Linked DNA regions of Stegostoma tigrinum. The protein of the gene in region 2 interacts with the protein of the main gene of each other region in a pairwise test. Links are inferred from orthologs where the notes say so. Each region holds a gene or a part of one and is shown on either strand. Other genes may lie near its edges. The genes, in order: selenbp1 and med31.

Region 1 (8,349 bases), on a different chromosome or scaffold from region 2:
CCCTAAACCTAACCCTGGCCCTGAATCTAATACTAACCCTAAACCTAACACTGGCCCTGACCCTAATCCTAACCTAAACCTAACCCTGGCCCTGACCCTAACCCTGGTCCTGACCCTAATCCTAACCCTAAACCTAACCCTGGTCCTGACCGTAACCCTTAACTCTGAACCTAACCCTGGCCCTGACCCTAATCCTGATCCTAAACCTAACCCGAACCCTAACCTTAACCTTAACCCCAACCCTAGGCCTTAACCCTAACCCTAATTCTAACCTTTAACCCTAACTCTGACTCTGACCCGAAACCTAACCCTCACCCCTACCCCAACCTTAACCCCAATGCTAATCCTAATCCAATTCCTAATCCCAACCCAAATTTGAACCCTAACCCAGACCCTGATACTAACCCTGACCCATTTAACCCCTAACCCAAACTCTAAACCATCGCTAACACTAACCCTACCCCAACCCTTACCTAAATCTAACCCCTAACCCTGCAGTGTGTGCTGAGAGGGTGGAGGAAGTGGGTAACTGAACAGTGACCGATTTACACGTTTTGGTTACAGTTGGAACCTGCACTTACCGAAAACTGAACACAACATGGACTCCAATCTGTGAGGAAACAGCCTGGGCACCAAACAGCAGGTAGTGTAATATCAGAGGGTCAGCGCTGAGGGAGCGGGCGCTGTTGGAGGGTCAGCGCTGAGGGAGCGGGCGCTGTCGGAGGGTCAGTGCTGAGGGAGCGGGCGCTGTCGGAGGGTCAGTGCTGAGGGAGCGGGCGCTGTCGGAGGGTCAGCGCTGAGGGAGCGGGCGCTGTCGGAGGGTCAGCGCTGAGGGAGCGGGCGCTGTCGGAGGGTCAGCGCTGAGGGAGCGGGCGCTGTCGGAGGGTCAGTGCTGAGGGAGCGGGCGCTGTCGGAGGGTCAGTGCTGAGGGAGTGGGAGCTGTCGGAAGGTCAGCGCTGAGGGAGAGGGCACTGTCGAAGGGTCAGTGCTGAGGGAGCGGGCGCTGTTAAAGTTGCCATCTTTTAGAGTGAGCCTTTAAACTGTGGCCACTTTGACTGTGTGTATGAGCGACCCTGAGCTGCGATTGGGCGCCTGGGTGAAGGTAGGCTCAGGGAGTTGGTGTGGTGGTGGTGGGGGTGTGAGGCGGGGTGGGGTGGCAGCATATGGCTGGATTGCTGCCTGTGGGAGCTTGCTGTGCGCATTAGGGCAGGGCCGGTCCTTTCGAAAGCTAGCTGAGGACTGGGCCTGAAACGTTCCAGGAGCAGCTGAGGACAGGCGCTAACACAACGCAGGGTGTCTCCATCTCGGAAGGAAGACGCTGATCGATAAGAAAGGCCATCACCCAGACCTGCCCTCCCACCCAGTAACAGGTTTCTGGCTTTGATAAAGCCTTTGCAATGGTGCTCTCTGCCAAGCTCTCTTTTCCGGAATCTTCTGGAGTTTTCTACCCAGGATAACGCATCCAACTCCATGTTAGCAATCCCCACCCCCGACCCTCAAAAGCCCCCCCCAGTTCCATGTCATGACGGTGCAAGCAGAGTGGCCATTTGGCCCATCTGCACAGTGCTAGCCCCCACAACCTGGCAGGGTGGGCCGTTCGCGCACCCCCCTGCCCCACCTGAACCTGGGCCTATCCCTTTGCTGGCGACGCTCGGTCTGACCATAGGAGTTACGGCACAGGCCAGGGGCGACAGCTGGAAGCGCACGGGGATGGTCGCTCTGTGCGAACTGCCACCAACAGCAACTTACCCATGTCACACCAGGCTCGGGGCCTTACTCCTGTTGGCTCAGGGCCTTACTCCTGTTGGCTCCCCTGCAAAATAAACAAGGAGGTGTCAGGGGGAGTGGCGTGAGGCTGGGGCAGGGCTGGGAAAGGGGGAGAGTGACAGAGTGGTAGAGAGAGTGATAGAAAGAGCAAGTGATAGAGTGATAGAGAGAGTGTGATAGAGCGAGTGATAGAAATAGAAAGAGTGAGTGACAGAGAAAGAGAGTGATAGAGAGAGAGAGGGAATGATAGAGAGAAAGTGAGTGCTAGAGAGAGAGTGGTAGAGACAGTGATAGAAGGAGCGAGTAATAGAGAGAGGGAGACTGATAGAGAGGGGGAGTGATAGAGAGGGTAATAGAGAAAGAAAGTGACAGAGTGGGAGTGAGAGAGAGAGAAAGTGTGATAGAGAATAGAGAGAGTGAGCGATAGAGAGAAAAACAGTGATAGAGAGAGAGTGGGAAAGTGATAGAGAGAGTGATAGAGAGAGAAAATGTGATAAAGAGTGATAGAGAGAAAGAGTGACAGAAATAGTGAGTGATAGAGTGAGTAGGTGATAGAGAGAGAGTGATAGACAGAGAGAGAGAGTGATAGAGAATAGAGAGTGAGTGATAGAGAAAGTGAGTGATAGAGAGACAGAGTGATAGAAAGAAGGAGGGTGACAGAGAGGGAAAGAAAGTGGTAGAGAGAGGGAGAGAGTGATAGAGAGAGAGTGTGATAGAGAGAAAGAGTGATAGAGAGTGAGTGTGATAGAGAGAGAAAGAGAGTGACAACCTGATAGTGAGAGAGATACAAATAGAGAGCGAGAAAGAGAGTGAGAGAGAGATAGCCTGATAGCGAGAGGAAGAGAATGATAGAGATACAGTGACTAAGACAGAGCTAATGCAGAGGTTAACAGAGTGAGAACAGAGCAAAACAGAGAGTGTTGGAGGGGGAGAACAAGCCAGTGCAATGGAATAACACTGAGAGACAGTGTGATAGAGACACAGAGAGCAAACATGTCAACTCACAAGGCAGCACGGACAGACTGGTCGAGACAAACAGGGAGAGACCGAGTCAATAAGCATGCACACACTCACACGCACACACTCACACGCACACACTCACACGCACACACAGTCTGATTGATCAAAGTACACTCTCCAAGAGAAGCTGAGCCGTTGCAACACAGCGTTTTGGCACGCAAGGTTTCCCTGCACACGATTAAAGTCAGCGCAAACAGTTTTAACTCTTTGCAGGTCCCTGCTGAGGCTCCAGGCAACATGAAGGACCAGCTCCTCACTGTTGGCCAGTAGAACAGAGACTCAGCGTTACCGCAGGAAACACCTCCATCCCACAACCCCCGGGTGCTCGAGCTGGCCGGCCCTACACTCTCGGGACGCCCCCTGCTCCGGTGAGGCTGGGGTGGGGTAACACACAGCAGGAAGCTCGTGCCACCAACGGTTGAGCTGCGTCATCAGTATTTCGAACATCAATGTTGTTTGCAGGGACCTGGCCCCTTCCCACCTTCAAATGGGAACGGTTTCCGTCCTGGAGACAACATTGGCGGCGCAGGAAGAGGCGCAGACCCAGGAGGCAGCCCAGCCAATAAAGCATACTGCGTCCTCCTAACTGGGGAGGGGAGGGGACAGGAGGCTATAGAATGCAAGAGCAGGGAGCTGAGGCGGATTCTGTATCAAACAACGGTCCAGCTTTGTCAGATAATGTTGAGGCAGGCCTGGCCTTCCAGGGAAACTTGCATAGGGATTACGGCAGTGGGGAGGAGGGGATTGGAGGATACCAAAGTAATCTGAGCACTTGGAGAGCCAGCACCAAAGTGATGGACTGAATGGTAACCTTCAATGTGGAACTACTGCTGAGGCTGGAGAGTTGAGTGCCTTTCCCCGGGGTGATGCTGAGTTCAGGGTGAACTCTATCAGACTGATTGAACAGGGAAACTTCCCAAGAATCTTTTTTCTTTCTCTGAGCAAGCTGTGTCTGCCAAGCCATCAGAGAGAACCAAGGTTGCCTGATGCTGACTTTGCCGCAAATGCCAGAACATCAGAGTAACAGTCTCCAGAATGTTCTGTAATTTGGAGGCAAAACCGCTGGATACAATCCCTATGATGTGGTAGCAGGTCATTCAGCCCATCAAGTCCACATTGCTCCTCTGAAGATTATCCCACCCAGACTCATAACCCCAACTCTTTCCTTGTAACCCTGCATTTCCCATGGCCAACCCACCCTAACCCACACATCCCTGGGCACTATGAGACAATTTAGCACGGCTAACCCACCCTAACCCGCACATCCCTGGGCACTACGGGACAATTTAGCACGGCCAACCCACCCTAACCCACACATCCCTGGGCACTATGAGACAATTTAGCACGGCCAGTCCATCCTAACCCGCACATCCCTGGGCACTACGGGACAATTTAGCACGGCCAACCCACCCTAACCCACACATCCTTGGGCACTACGGGACAATTTAGCACGGCCAACCCACCCTAACCCGCACATCCCTGGGCACTACGGGACAATTTAGCACGGCCAATCCACCCTAACCCACACATACCTGGGCTCTACGGGACAATTTAGCACGGCCAACCCACCCTAACCCGCACATCCCTGGGCACTAGAAGGCAATTTAGCACGGCCAACCCACCCTAACCTGCACATCCCTGGGCACTACGGGACAATTTAGCACGGCCAATCCACCCTAACCCGCACATCCCTGGGCACTACGGGACAATTTAGCATGGCCAATCCACCCTAACCCACACATACCTGGGCTCTACGGGACAATTTAGCACGGCCAATCCACCCTAACCCGCACATCCCTGGGCACTACGGGACAATTTAGCACGGCCAATCCACCCTAACCCACACATCCCTGGGCACTATGGGACAATTTAACACGGCCAATCCACCCTAACCCGCACATCCCTGGGCACTACGGGACAATTTAACACGGCCAATCCACCCTAACCTGCACATCTGTGGACTGTGGGAGGAAACTGGAGCACTCGGTGGAAACCCACGCAGACACGGCGAGAATGTGCAAACTCCACACAGACAGTGGCCTGAGGTTGGGATCGAACCCGGGTCCCTGGCACTGTGAGTCAGTGGTACTAACCGCTGAGCCGCCCACTGTTGGGCCAGCAAGCCCGTGTATGACTGTTTCTGAAACTGGGTCCATTAGATAGCTCGACACCGCATTATGAAAGCTTGGCAGGACACCAGACTGCTCAGAGAAACAGCGGGCAGCTTAGCCACAGATCCCAGAAGGCTGGCAGGGACAGGGTAGTTCAGCAGGTAAATGGATCACGTGCTGTTATCATTCATGGAGGGAGTTATACGAGCAGGAAGCTGGTGCTGGAGATGTACAGGCCTGGAATCCCTGGCGTTGGAAAAATGTTGCTAAACGTGAAAGGGTTCAGAAAAGATTTACAACGATGTTGGAGGATTTGAGCTACAGGGAGGTCCTGGGGCTGTTTTCCTTGCAGTGTTGGAGGTGATCTTAACGAGGTTTATAACATCAGAAGGGGCACTGATAGGGGTCTTTCCCCCCAGGGGTAGGGGGATTCCAAAACTAGAGGGACATAGGTTTAAGGTGAGAGGGAAAGGGACCTGAGCGGCAACTTTTTCACACAGAGGGTGGTGCGGGTATGGAAGGAGCTGCCAGAGGAAGTGGGTGGGGCTGGTACAGTTACAGCATTTAAAAGGCATCAGGATGGGGACATGTGATAATGGAAACTGCAGATGCTGGAGAATCCGAGATAACAAAGTGTGGGGCTGGATGAACACAGCAGGCCCAGCAGCATCTCAGGAGCACAAAAGCTGATGTTTCGGGCCTAGACCCTTCATCAGAGAGGGGGATGGGGTGAGGGAACTGGAATAAATAGGGAGAGAGGGGGAGGCGGACCGAAGATGGAGAGAAAAGAAGATAGGTGGAGAGGAGAGTATAGGTGGGGAGGTAGGGAGGGGATAGGTCAGTCCAGGGAAGACGGACAGGTCAAGGAGGTGGGATGAGGTTAGTAGGTGTGAGATGGAGGTGCGGCTTGAGGTGGGAGGAAGGGTTGGGTGAGAGGAAGAACAGGTTAGGGAGGCAGAGACAGGCTGGACTGGTTTTGGGATGCAGTGGGTGGAGGGGATGAGCTGGGCTGGTTTTGGGATGCAGTGGGGGGAGGGGAAGAACTGGGCGGGTTTTGGGATGCAGTGGGTGGAGGGGAAGAGCTGGGCTGGTTTTGGGATGCAGTGGGGGGAGGGGAAGAGCTGGGCTGGGTTTGGGATGCGGTGGGGGGAGGGGAGATTTTGAAGCTGGTGAAGTCCACATTGATACCATTAGGCTGCAGGGTTCCCAAGCGGAATATGAGTTGCTGTTCCTGCAACCTTCGGGTGGCATCATTGTGGCAGTGCAGGAGGCCCATGATGGACATGTCATCTAAAGAATGGGAGGGGGAGTGGAAATGGTTTGCGACTGGGAGGTGCAGTTGTTTATTGCGAACTGAGCGGAGGATGGGAACATGGATAGGAAGGGTTTAGAGGGATTGGGGCCGATTGCTGGCACATGGGGCTGGATTAGTTTAAGATATCTGGGTCAGTGCAGATGAGCTGGGCTGAAGGACCCGTTTCCGTGCTGCACAGCTCCAAGACAGAGGTGAGGGTGTTTATTGGCTATCTCGCTTCTGTCTTCACATAAATTTGTGTATTCACAGTCGTTTGAAAGTGTTGGATTGTGAACTCGATTTGGACTGGTTCGGATAAACGTCCGCAGGGAATCTCAGTGAGGGCCTGGAGCCAGCTTGTTCGAAGTTTGGGGGTTGTAGCCTTGATCGCCGAGCCGGTCGGTGTGGTTGTAAATATTTCGCCACCCTGCTGGGTAACATCGCCAGCGTGCCCCCTCCAGTGAAGCATTGGCGTTCTGTTGCAGCTTAAGTGCCCTGGTCTGACGGAAAGTGTGGCTTCACAAAGTCTGCGATTTAGGACGGACGAGGTTAAAACAAGGGCCCAATCTCACAATAACCAAGTACGAAATCGGCCTGTACAGGTTTGTTACGAATATAAATGTAACCCACGAACCAACATTATGAGATGAAACTGAACATTTTTACCGTGAGGAGCTGCAGGACGCTCAGGGAGACTTTCATTTGTATTATGGCCCAGCGCAAAACTTACTCAAAATGTAAGCAGATAATTTAGATCCTAAACTTTTCTTAGTAGAATACGAGTTTAATTCGCATCTAATGATGAAATAAAGGTAAATTGCACAGCTTACCTCGAAAAATTGTCAGGGTGAGGGGTTTTGAGGTTGTGAGCGCAGGGTGGCCATCCTTCCCCACGTCGCCGTCGCCGAGTACTGTACCTCTCGCAGAAAGTGCTTCACGCCAAACAGAAATGATCGCGCCACGCTGGCGTGGAGACTCCTTCCCGCAAAACGGTCACGTGACCCCACCCCCACTCCCGGCAACCGATGGCACCTCCGTTATACCTAACCGCGAGTTCGTCATTTTAGAAACAGCACCAACCCCCCCACCCCAAAATGGTCAGTGCGTTACGGCCAACGTGTGTCGATGGAATGCGTCTTGTAGCAGAACACAGTGTACGCATTAGGCGTTGCAATCTGCCCGTCTCAAGCCCAGGGCACACTTTATTCGTCCATGCTAATTAAAACACAGATGAAAGAAAGAGGGAAGTGGAGTAACAACACTATTGGAAAACTAATCGATTAGTTAGCTGCTAAACAGTGACAGTGCCAACATGGTAACGCCCTTAGCAGAGGCAAATTCAGTAGAACAGATTCTGTCATGTGCAATTCTAGCAGCAGGAAGTATTTTGTTGTGACGAAGAGAAAGAGAGAGAGGAATAAAAGCTTCTACATTCAGTTGCAAGCAGGAACAGAAAGCTCAAGTTAAAAATCCTGGATCCACAGGAGCTTGGCCCCACCCATTCAGGATGCTTCTATTGTTCCAACCCTACAATCATCAAGGCCTCACATTATTGGGTCTGAGCAGACAAATCAGGACCTCTGTCTCAACCTCCCTTTATTTAAAAAAAGCACAAATTATGGTAAGACTGGGATAGATAGGTTCTTGATTGTCGAGGGGATCAAGGGTTATGGGGAGGAAGCAGGAGAATGGGGCTGACGAACTTATCAGCCATGATTGAATGGCGGAGCAGACTCGATGGACCGAATGGCCCAATTTCTGCTCCTGTGTCTTATGGTCTTATAATCCCTGCAGTGTGGACAACAGGCCATTCAGCCCAGCGAGTAGACAACAAGCCCCCGAAGAGTGGGCTGCGCCCTCAGAGAGCAGAGTCGACAGACTGAACGGCCACCATTGGCATTTTGAAGTGTGTCTTCACCAGGAGGGTGAGGATAACCGAAGAGTGCAAACTAAATAACTGCCAGAAGGCCGAGAGGCAATAGCAAGGAAGGGGAATTGTAAGGATTGTGGAACAGGGTCACACTGACCTTCAGAGAATAAACGATCATTGTTTTGCAACGTATTCGAAAGAACAGCTAAGAAAATTGATAAGACAAGGGTAAGAAAGACATTATGACCCGCAAAAACTTAAGTAAACTTCTTTTAATGACTTGATTG
Region 2 (7,970 bases):
CAGCCTTCCTGCTCCTCTGATGCTGCTCAGCCTGCTGTGTTCATCCAGCTCTACACCTTGTTATCTCAGACCCCAGCATCTTGCTGTCTCTGAGCATCTTTGAACATGATATTTCATAGAATCCCTACAGGGTGGAAACAGGCCCTTCGGCCCAACAAGCCCACGCCGCCCCTTGAAGCATCCCACCCAGACCTATCCCCCTATAACCCACACACCCCTGAACACTACAGGCAATTTAGCATGGCCGATCCACCTAGCCTGCACATCTTTGGATTGTGGGAGGAAACCCGCACACACACATGGGGAGAATGTGCAAACTCCACACAGACAGTCGCCCGAGGGTGGATTTGAAAACGGGTCCCTGGCCCTGTGAGGCAGCAGTGCTAACCACTGAGCCACCGTACCGCCCCAAATCTTAGAGGATCGAAGGCTGAAATGGTTTGGGCAGGGGTGATATGGAGCTTGGGACCCTCTCTGCTGCTGAAAGCCACTAGTGCTGGGACGAATAAAATCTGTACAAGAACAGCACTCCAAGGGTGTGCAGAAAGACAGGGACTCACTCACCTGAAAGATTTGAAAACAAGGACGAGAATTTTTAGAATTTATTTAACTGGGAGTGAATGTAGGACAGCGAGTACAGGAAGTATGGGACTCAGTAAGAGTTAGGTGTTGGCAGCTAAGTATCAGATGAAGTGAGGAGAGTTCATAGAACAGGGAAGGTTACGGATGAGAAAGACAGGAGTGAGGGGATCAGCAGCAGATGGGGCAAACTCAAGGGGCATGTTTACAGCAGAAAAAGTCAGCAACGCAGACAGGCATGGAGTCAGAGGTTCAGCTCAGGGTCAAATAGGACAGTGAGGTACACGCTCACAAAGCACATTAAGTTAAAACACAGGGTAATTTCTCTCCAAATTGCAGGCTCAAAACATAAATACACATTAAACAGCACACTGCAAGCAGTTACAGCTAACTGCATGACAAGACTCTGAATCATATTTAATCGCAGGGGACAATGCTCAAAGTAATCAGTAAAAGAACAGGAGTAACGCAAGAAGAAATGTTTTCATACAGTGAATGGCACGGCACGGTGGCTCAGTGGTTAGCACTGCAGCCAAACAGCACCAGGGACCCGGTTTTGATTCCGGCCTCGGGCGATTGTACGGAGTTTGCACATTCTCCCTGTGTCTGCGTGGGGTTCCCCCGGGTGCTCCGGTTTCCTCCCACAGTCCGAAGGTGTGCAGGCTAGGGTGGATTGGCCATGCTAAATGCAGGGACAGAATAGAGGATGGGCCTGGTTCTTCAGAGGGTTACTGTGGACTTGCTGGGTGAAGGGCCTGCTCCCATACCATCGGGGAATTCTACAAATGCATCGCCTCAGTGAGTGGAGTAGGCAGGTTCAATCAAGGCAGATGATGATTGTTCCTTTGAAGAGGCAGAGCAGACATGATGGGCCAAATGGCTTCCTCTTGAAGCTTAATACTTCTGCACATGTGAGGTGCATGAGAGTGGTACCAGGTGATCATTTGGGTAGCTAGTATACACAGGCCAGGCTCAATGGCCTCCACCTGAGCATGGGGCAGGCTGAGTTCAGCAACGACCGGGAAATTGAAACACTGGGCTGAAGGAGATGGCAAACACTACATTTAGACGACAGAGAAAGAGTCAGAAAGTAGGGGGCCTCCTGCTGGAGTGACATTCCCTCTAGGCCAGGTGGACAGGTAGATAGATTGTTGGCGAGTGTAGCCATCACTGGGGGCAGACAGGAAAATGCAGAGGACACAACCTTATTGCCTAGCAGAGCAGATATGAGGGATCGAATGGCCTCATTTGTACACAACAGTCCCGAGAAAGGCCCTTCAGCCCATTGTGAGGACACTAGTCACAGAGTTGTGCAGCACAGAAATGGCCCCTTTGAACCAGCTTTCCTAAACTAAACCAGTCCCACTTGCCTCGGTTTGGCCCATATCCCTCGAAACCTTTCCTATTGATGTACCTGTCCAAATGTTGTAGCTACATCCACATCAACAACTTCCTCAGGCTGTTCATCCCACACATGCACCACCCTCTGTGTGAAACATCTGTGCCTCAGGTCTGTTTTAAATCCTTCTCCTCTCACCTTAAAAATATTCCCTCTCGTTTTGAACTCCCAACGCCGGGGAAAAGATCTCGGCTACTCAACCAATCCATGCCTCATGATTTTACAAACTTCTACAAGGTCACCCCCTCAACCTCCTACACTCCAGGGAAAAAAGCCCCATCCTATCCAGCCTCACCTTATAACTCAAATCCTTCATTCCCAGTAACATCCTGGCAAATCTTTTCTGAACCCTCTCCAGTTTGATAATATCCTTTCTAAAGCAGGGCGACCACAGTACTCCAGAAGTGGCCTCACCAACACCCTGTACAAGCTTAACATGACGTCCCAACTCCGATACTCAAAGGTCTGAGAAAAAAAAGGCAAGCGTGCTAAATGCCTTCTCAACCAGCCTGTCCCTATATTAGTCTGGCACCCCCTCAGAAACACTGAGCCTTAATCTTATTTGTTCAAGCATCAGGTATGATCCAAATAAACTCCGCTGTGCTGCTCACACTCGGTAGGTGTGTCTCAGCAGATTCATTCCAAGCTGAACCCAGTGTGTCCTGGGCTTTTAAACCAGCCAACTGGGTCATTGCGTGGTGAATGTCAGTGATCAGCTCCCTTGACATGAGAATGTTGTCTTGAGTCACAACAAAAATATTAACACCTCAAAACTAGACAGGCCACAAAACATTTCCCACAAATTGTACCGAAAGAATCACCTTCAATGCTAGAAAATGTCCCAGGGCCTAATTGAAAACACAAAGGTGGAGCGAGAGATGATGACAAAACCTTAATGTAGTCCAAAGGATTGGCATTTAAGATATGGGAAGGCCGGAGATTCCAGAGGTGGAAGGTGAAAAAATGCAGGAAACATTCAACATGCCTGACAACATCCACAGAGGGAGAGGGAGAGGGAGAGGGAGAGGGAGAGGGAGAGGGAGAGGTTGGGGGTGGGGGGGGACGGTGGTGAACAAACTGCACGGAAGCTGGTATCCCATCACATTTATTTACATGTGCACTGTGCACAGGCTGTGGTCAGCCAGCTCCTCTAAATCCCCTGTTTATGTTGTTGAGCCAGGGCTTCCTAATTGGCCCAGGTTAACAACCCCAACCAAGGACCTCATAGTCAATGAGATCCACCTGGTTCCAGTCACTATAGGAGGTAAATGTTTGACACCCAGACTCTGCTTTAGAATACCACAAACACAACAGTATTTGGAATTACCCCCATCCTATCTCTGACCATAAGGGTGTAGGAGCAGAAAGAGGCCATTTGACCCATCAAGTCTGTTATAGAATCCCTAGAGTGTGGAAACAGGCCATTTGGCCTAACAAACCTACAATGACCATCTAAATAGTATCCCACTCATACCCAAACCCCTACCCTATCCGTGTAACCCTGCATTTCCCACGGCTAACCCATCTAACCTACACATCCCTGGGCACAAGGGGCAACTTAGCATGGACAATCCACCTAAGATATGGAAAGAGGAAACCCATTCAGACATGGGGAGAATGTGAAAACTCCACACAGGCAGTCACCCAAGGCTGGAATCGAACCCAGGTCACAGGCGCCACGAGGCAGCAGCGCTAATCACTGAACTACCACACTGCCCCTGTCAGCTCAGCTAGTCAATGTGATGATGGCCTATCCTTAACTCCACTTCCCTGTCATTTCCCCAGATCCCTCTGTTCTCTAACCCTTCCCAGAAACATGCATCCTGTACAGGAAACCCTGAGCCTGCATTCACCACATTCTCTCAACATGTTCAGCGCAGTAACACAGTCATCCCAAGCCCAGACTCCTTCTGCATCAGGGTCCCTCTGATAGACATAACTGCCCCACCTTCCCCTCTTTCCCAGGGGCAATGCTTCAGCCCAGGGGGCAGCACCACCTCCTCCTGAGGGTCCTCCAGCCCAGGGGACAGCACCACCTCCTCCTGATGATCCTCCAGCCCAGGGGGCAGCACCACCTCCTCCTAATTATCCTCCAGCCTAGGGGGCAGCACCACCTCCTCCTAATTATCCTCCAGCCTAGGGGGCAGCACCACCTCCTCCTGATGATCCTCCAGCCCAGGGGGCAGCGCCACCTCCTCCTGATGATCCTCCAGCCCAGGGGGCAGCACCACCTCCTCCTAATTATCCTCCAGCCTAGGGGGCAGCACCACCTCCTCCTGAGGGTCCTCCAGCCTAGGGGGCAGCACCACCTCCTCCTAATTATCCTCCAGCCCAGGGGGCAGCATCATATCCTCCTGATTATCCTCCAGCCCAGAGGGCAGCACCACCTCCTCCTGATTATCCTCCAGCCTAGGGGGCAGCACCACCTCCTCCTGATGGTCCTCCAGCCCAGAGGGCAGCACCATCTCCTCCTGATTATCCTCCAGCCTAGGGGGCAGCACCACCTCCTCCTGATGGTCCTCCAGCCAAGAGGGCAGCACCACCTCCTCCTGATTATCCTCCAGCCCAGGGGGCAGCACTGACTCCCACTGTAAGTCGGAGTGGAATTACTTCAGTTGGCAGCTGCTATCGGGAGAAGTGACCCGCTTGCGAGCAGCTCGTTAGTTCTATTCATTCTGGTAGTTTGAACTGACGAGAAGGTAGGTGCTGTGACTAGTACCGATTAAGAGAAGGGTCAGACCTGCTTAATGGAGGCTGCTGTTTACACCGAATCTCTTCGAGCGGGAGGCGGAGAGAAGAAACAAACAATGGCGGCTGCACCAGCCACCATGGAGACAGGTAAGGAGCGGAAGTTAGCGGCCACGTGATAGCGAGCGGGGCGGAAATATCTGGCTCCATGATTGGGCGGGGCGGAAGTAAGGGCCTTCTCGTTCACTCTTGAAACTGGGAGAGAGGGACGTTTGCTGCTGACTCTGGGTAAAGATAACAGTAACGGAAAGAGGCAAATCAGCCCCTTGAGTGGTTGGTAGTACAGTTTCTATGGGCCGAATGGCCTTTACTACGATGCTAAGAGCCTGTTTTGGCACTAACTGAGACAGTGGCTGTTCTGTACTCTATCTCCATTACACGTAGTGCTCCTCTGTTGTAGCACTCTAGTGATCTCAGATACAAAACGGTTGATTGGGCCCTCGAATCAACTCCCTTTTTTGTAGGGTAGAGATCCACACATGCCTCCTCTGCTGACTAACCTGGTTCTGAATTTAAGATAATGCCCAGTAAACCTGAACTCAACTCCAAACATTGAAATGTTTTTCCTAGCGAGTTTTGAGAAGATTTGTAACTCAGGTTGAGTTTCTGGATCTTCACCGGGGGCTCATTGACGATGTTACCTAGTTTTCAGACGTCTCGTCACCAAACTAACCTTCCAGCTCAGCGAGCAAACTCACATCCAGATGTTTTTCCTTATCAACTTGTTTCAAAATACTCCATCAAAATCACATCTTTAACATGCTGCATTCCACAGAATACAGGCTTTGTTTATTTCACCAAACTTGGTCATTGGCCCCTACTGATTAAACAATACCTTTGTTCCTCCAGCTAAGCTCCTAAAAAAAATTTATTCATGGGATGTGGACCTTGCTGGTTGGTGAGCATTTAATGCCTGCCTCCTAGATGCTGTGGTGAAGCTTATGGTGAGCTGCCTTCTTGGGCCACTCCAGTTCCTTTGGGGTAGGTACATCCAAAGTACTGTAAAATAGAGGGGCTTTTATGTAGGAGTTTAGGCATCAATGTATGGACACTCGCATCACACCTGAGTTTGACCTAGTGTTTATCTGATACATTTGTTCCTTCCCACGTGCATGTGCCCTCTCACACCACTAGGAATTGCAAGAGTATGACTGCAGCTTAATATGTATCCTTGACTCTAGCTGGGGCCTTTGTGATTCACTTGAGGTCCCTCCCTGAGCTCATACCGAGGCTGAGCTTCCTGGTCTGGTGGTATATTTTAACATTGCACCAAGCATTGAACTGGGCCTTGCATATTCAAGGTCATCAATCTCCATGTGATTAAGTCATACAATGGATTCAAACTATCGTAAAACAAAATTAAAAAAAACTACAGCATATAGCTGGAGAATCTCAGCAGGCTTGGCAGCATCTGTGGAGAGAAAACAGAGTTAACATTTCCAGTATAGTCACCCTTCTTCAGAAGTTCTGAAGTGTTGAGTTCCCCAGCAGTTTTTTTTTGTTTCAGATTTCCAGCATTCACAGAGTTTTTTTTTGTTTTATCCGAAGGTAAATAAGATAAGAATTCCTGGAGAAGATATGATCTACGTTTATTGTTTGGATTTGAAGTCATGCTGCAATGATAGTACGTTGTCCTGCGAAGCGTGCCGTGTGTACATTGGCTGCCACTTCCTTGATTGCAAAATTAAAAAAGATAGTAGCAGCAGGAAGAGGTCACTTGAACCGTCGAGCTTACTCTGCCTGTCAGTAAGACCCTGGCTGATCTGACTAAGGCTTCAACTTGACTTGCCTGTCTGACCTTAACCCGTAAACCCCCTTCTCAAACAAAAATCATTTTACTTTATATTTTATCTTATTTGTGATGACTTTGGTTGAATTTATGCCTTAAGGTAATGAGTAACTTGTCCTTTCCCCCCTCTGCTCTCTCTCTCTCACTCTCTCTACCCCCAGAGGAACAGGCAAAGCTACGATTTGAGATGGAGCTGGAGTTTGTGCAGTGTCTGGCGAACCCGAACTATCTGAACTGTAAGTGCCAGTGGGATTCCCCTGGACCATTGGCCAGTTGCTGTTTCCAGCAGTGACATGGTAAAGTAAGAAACCACTGAGCTTCATCACAGCTACCGACAGGACGCTTTCTCCCTTCTGCATGAGGCAGCACATCAGTGTTATCGCCAGCCTCTTGAAGCATGTCTGTGATTGAACCAGACTTGGACCCATAGATAGAGAGGGAAGTGAGTCTCTTCTGATGTAACTTTGAAACGAAGCCCTGGGTGGGGAAGGGGAAGTGCAGGAGGCACTGAGCACCAAAGTGTCTGCTCCAGTGAAGCGTAGATGCCATGCACCTGAAGAGCGTAATAGACCCACTCACTTTGATGCAGTAATGTCTGTAATGACAAGGAGCTACCTCCCCATGCCCTGGGGATGGTACTCGCCAGTTAACAGTATCATTCTCTCTTCAACATTACCTTAGTGCTGGTGACAATACCGTAATTTTCTTTTTGTTTCAATGTGGTAGTTCTGGCACAACGAGGGTACTTCAGAGACCGAACGTTTGTCAATTACTTCAAGTATCTCCTGTACTGGAAGGAGCCAGAATATGCCAAGTACCTGAAGTAAGTATCCACCCCACTGGACAGCTTTTCACAGTAATCTTTGTCGTGGGATCAATATCCACTCAGTGGTTAGCACTGCAGCCTCACAGCACCAGGGACAAGGGTTCAATTCCACCCTCGGGCGACTGTCTGTGTGGAGTTTGCACATTCTCCCCGTGTCTGCGTGGGTTTCTTCCGGGTGCTCCGGTTTCCTCCCACAGTCCAAAGATGTGCAGGCTAGGTGGATCGGCCATGCTAAATTGCCTGTAGTGTTCAGGGGTGTGTGGGTTATAGGGGGATGGGTCTAGATAGGATGCTGCAAGGGCGGTGTGGACTTGTTGGGCCGAAGGGCCTGTTCCCACACTGTCGGCATTCTGTGATTCGTATCCAGGATAGCCCCAAATGCCATACATTCCATTCCTGGCCTGAAGGCGTCTGCTGTTCACTGGGATGAAATGCATTCCGGTACATTATACAACCGAGTCTGTCAGAGTAATCTCAGAGGAACAGCACCCCCATCAATCACTCCCAGGGACAGGGACAGCACGGGGTTAGATACAGAGTAACGCTCCCTCTACACTGTCCCCCATCAAACACTCCCAGGGACAGGGATAGCACGGGGTTAGATACAGAGTAACGCTCTCTACACTGTC

The links.
Region 1: the proteins of med31 (region 2) and selenbp1 interact in a two-hybrid assay, tested with the Homo sapiens proteins (2 studies listed by BioGRID and IntAct). The link is inferred for Stegostoma tigrinum from reciprocal best matches to the Homo sapiens genes MED31 and SELENBP1.

What each region holds. Positions count from the first base shown.
Region 1 is NC_081400.1:4,883,894-4,892,242, reverse strand, and holds the start of selenbp1 (methanethiol oxidase), read right to left. Parts: upstream 3,143-8,349; 5' UTR 3,045-3,142; intron 3,010-3,044; exon of another isoform or gene 2,992-3,009; intron 2,936-2,991; exon of another isoform or gene 2,773-2,935; intron 1,814-2,772; 5' UTR 1,754-1,813; coding exon 1,750-1,753; intron 1-1,749. UniProt on the Homo sapiens protein: Catalyzes the oxidation of methanethiol, an organosulfur compound known to be produced in substantial amounts by gut bacteria. Selenium-binding protein which may be involved in the sensing of reactive xenobiotics in the cytoplasm.
Region 2 is NC_081380.1:46,203,273-46,211,242, forward strand, and holds the start of med31 (mediator of RNA polymerase II transcription subunit 31), read left to right. Parts: upstream 1-4,568; 5' UTR 4,569-4,725; coding exon 4,726-4,816; exon of another isoform or gene 4,817-4,954; intron 4,955-5,575; exon of another isoform or gene 5,576-5,667; coding exon of another isoform or gene 5,668-5,707; intron 5,708-6,274; exon of another isoform or gene 6,275-6,304; coding exon of another isoform or gene 6,305-6,350; intron 6,351-6,676; coding exon 6,677-6,751; intron 6,752-7,241; coding exon 7,242-7,338; intron 7,339-7,970. UniProt on the Homo sapiens protein: Component of the Mediator complex, a coactivator involved in the regulated transcription of nearly all RNA polymerase II-dependent genes.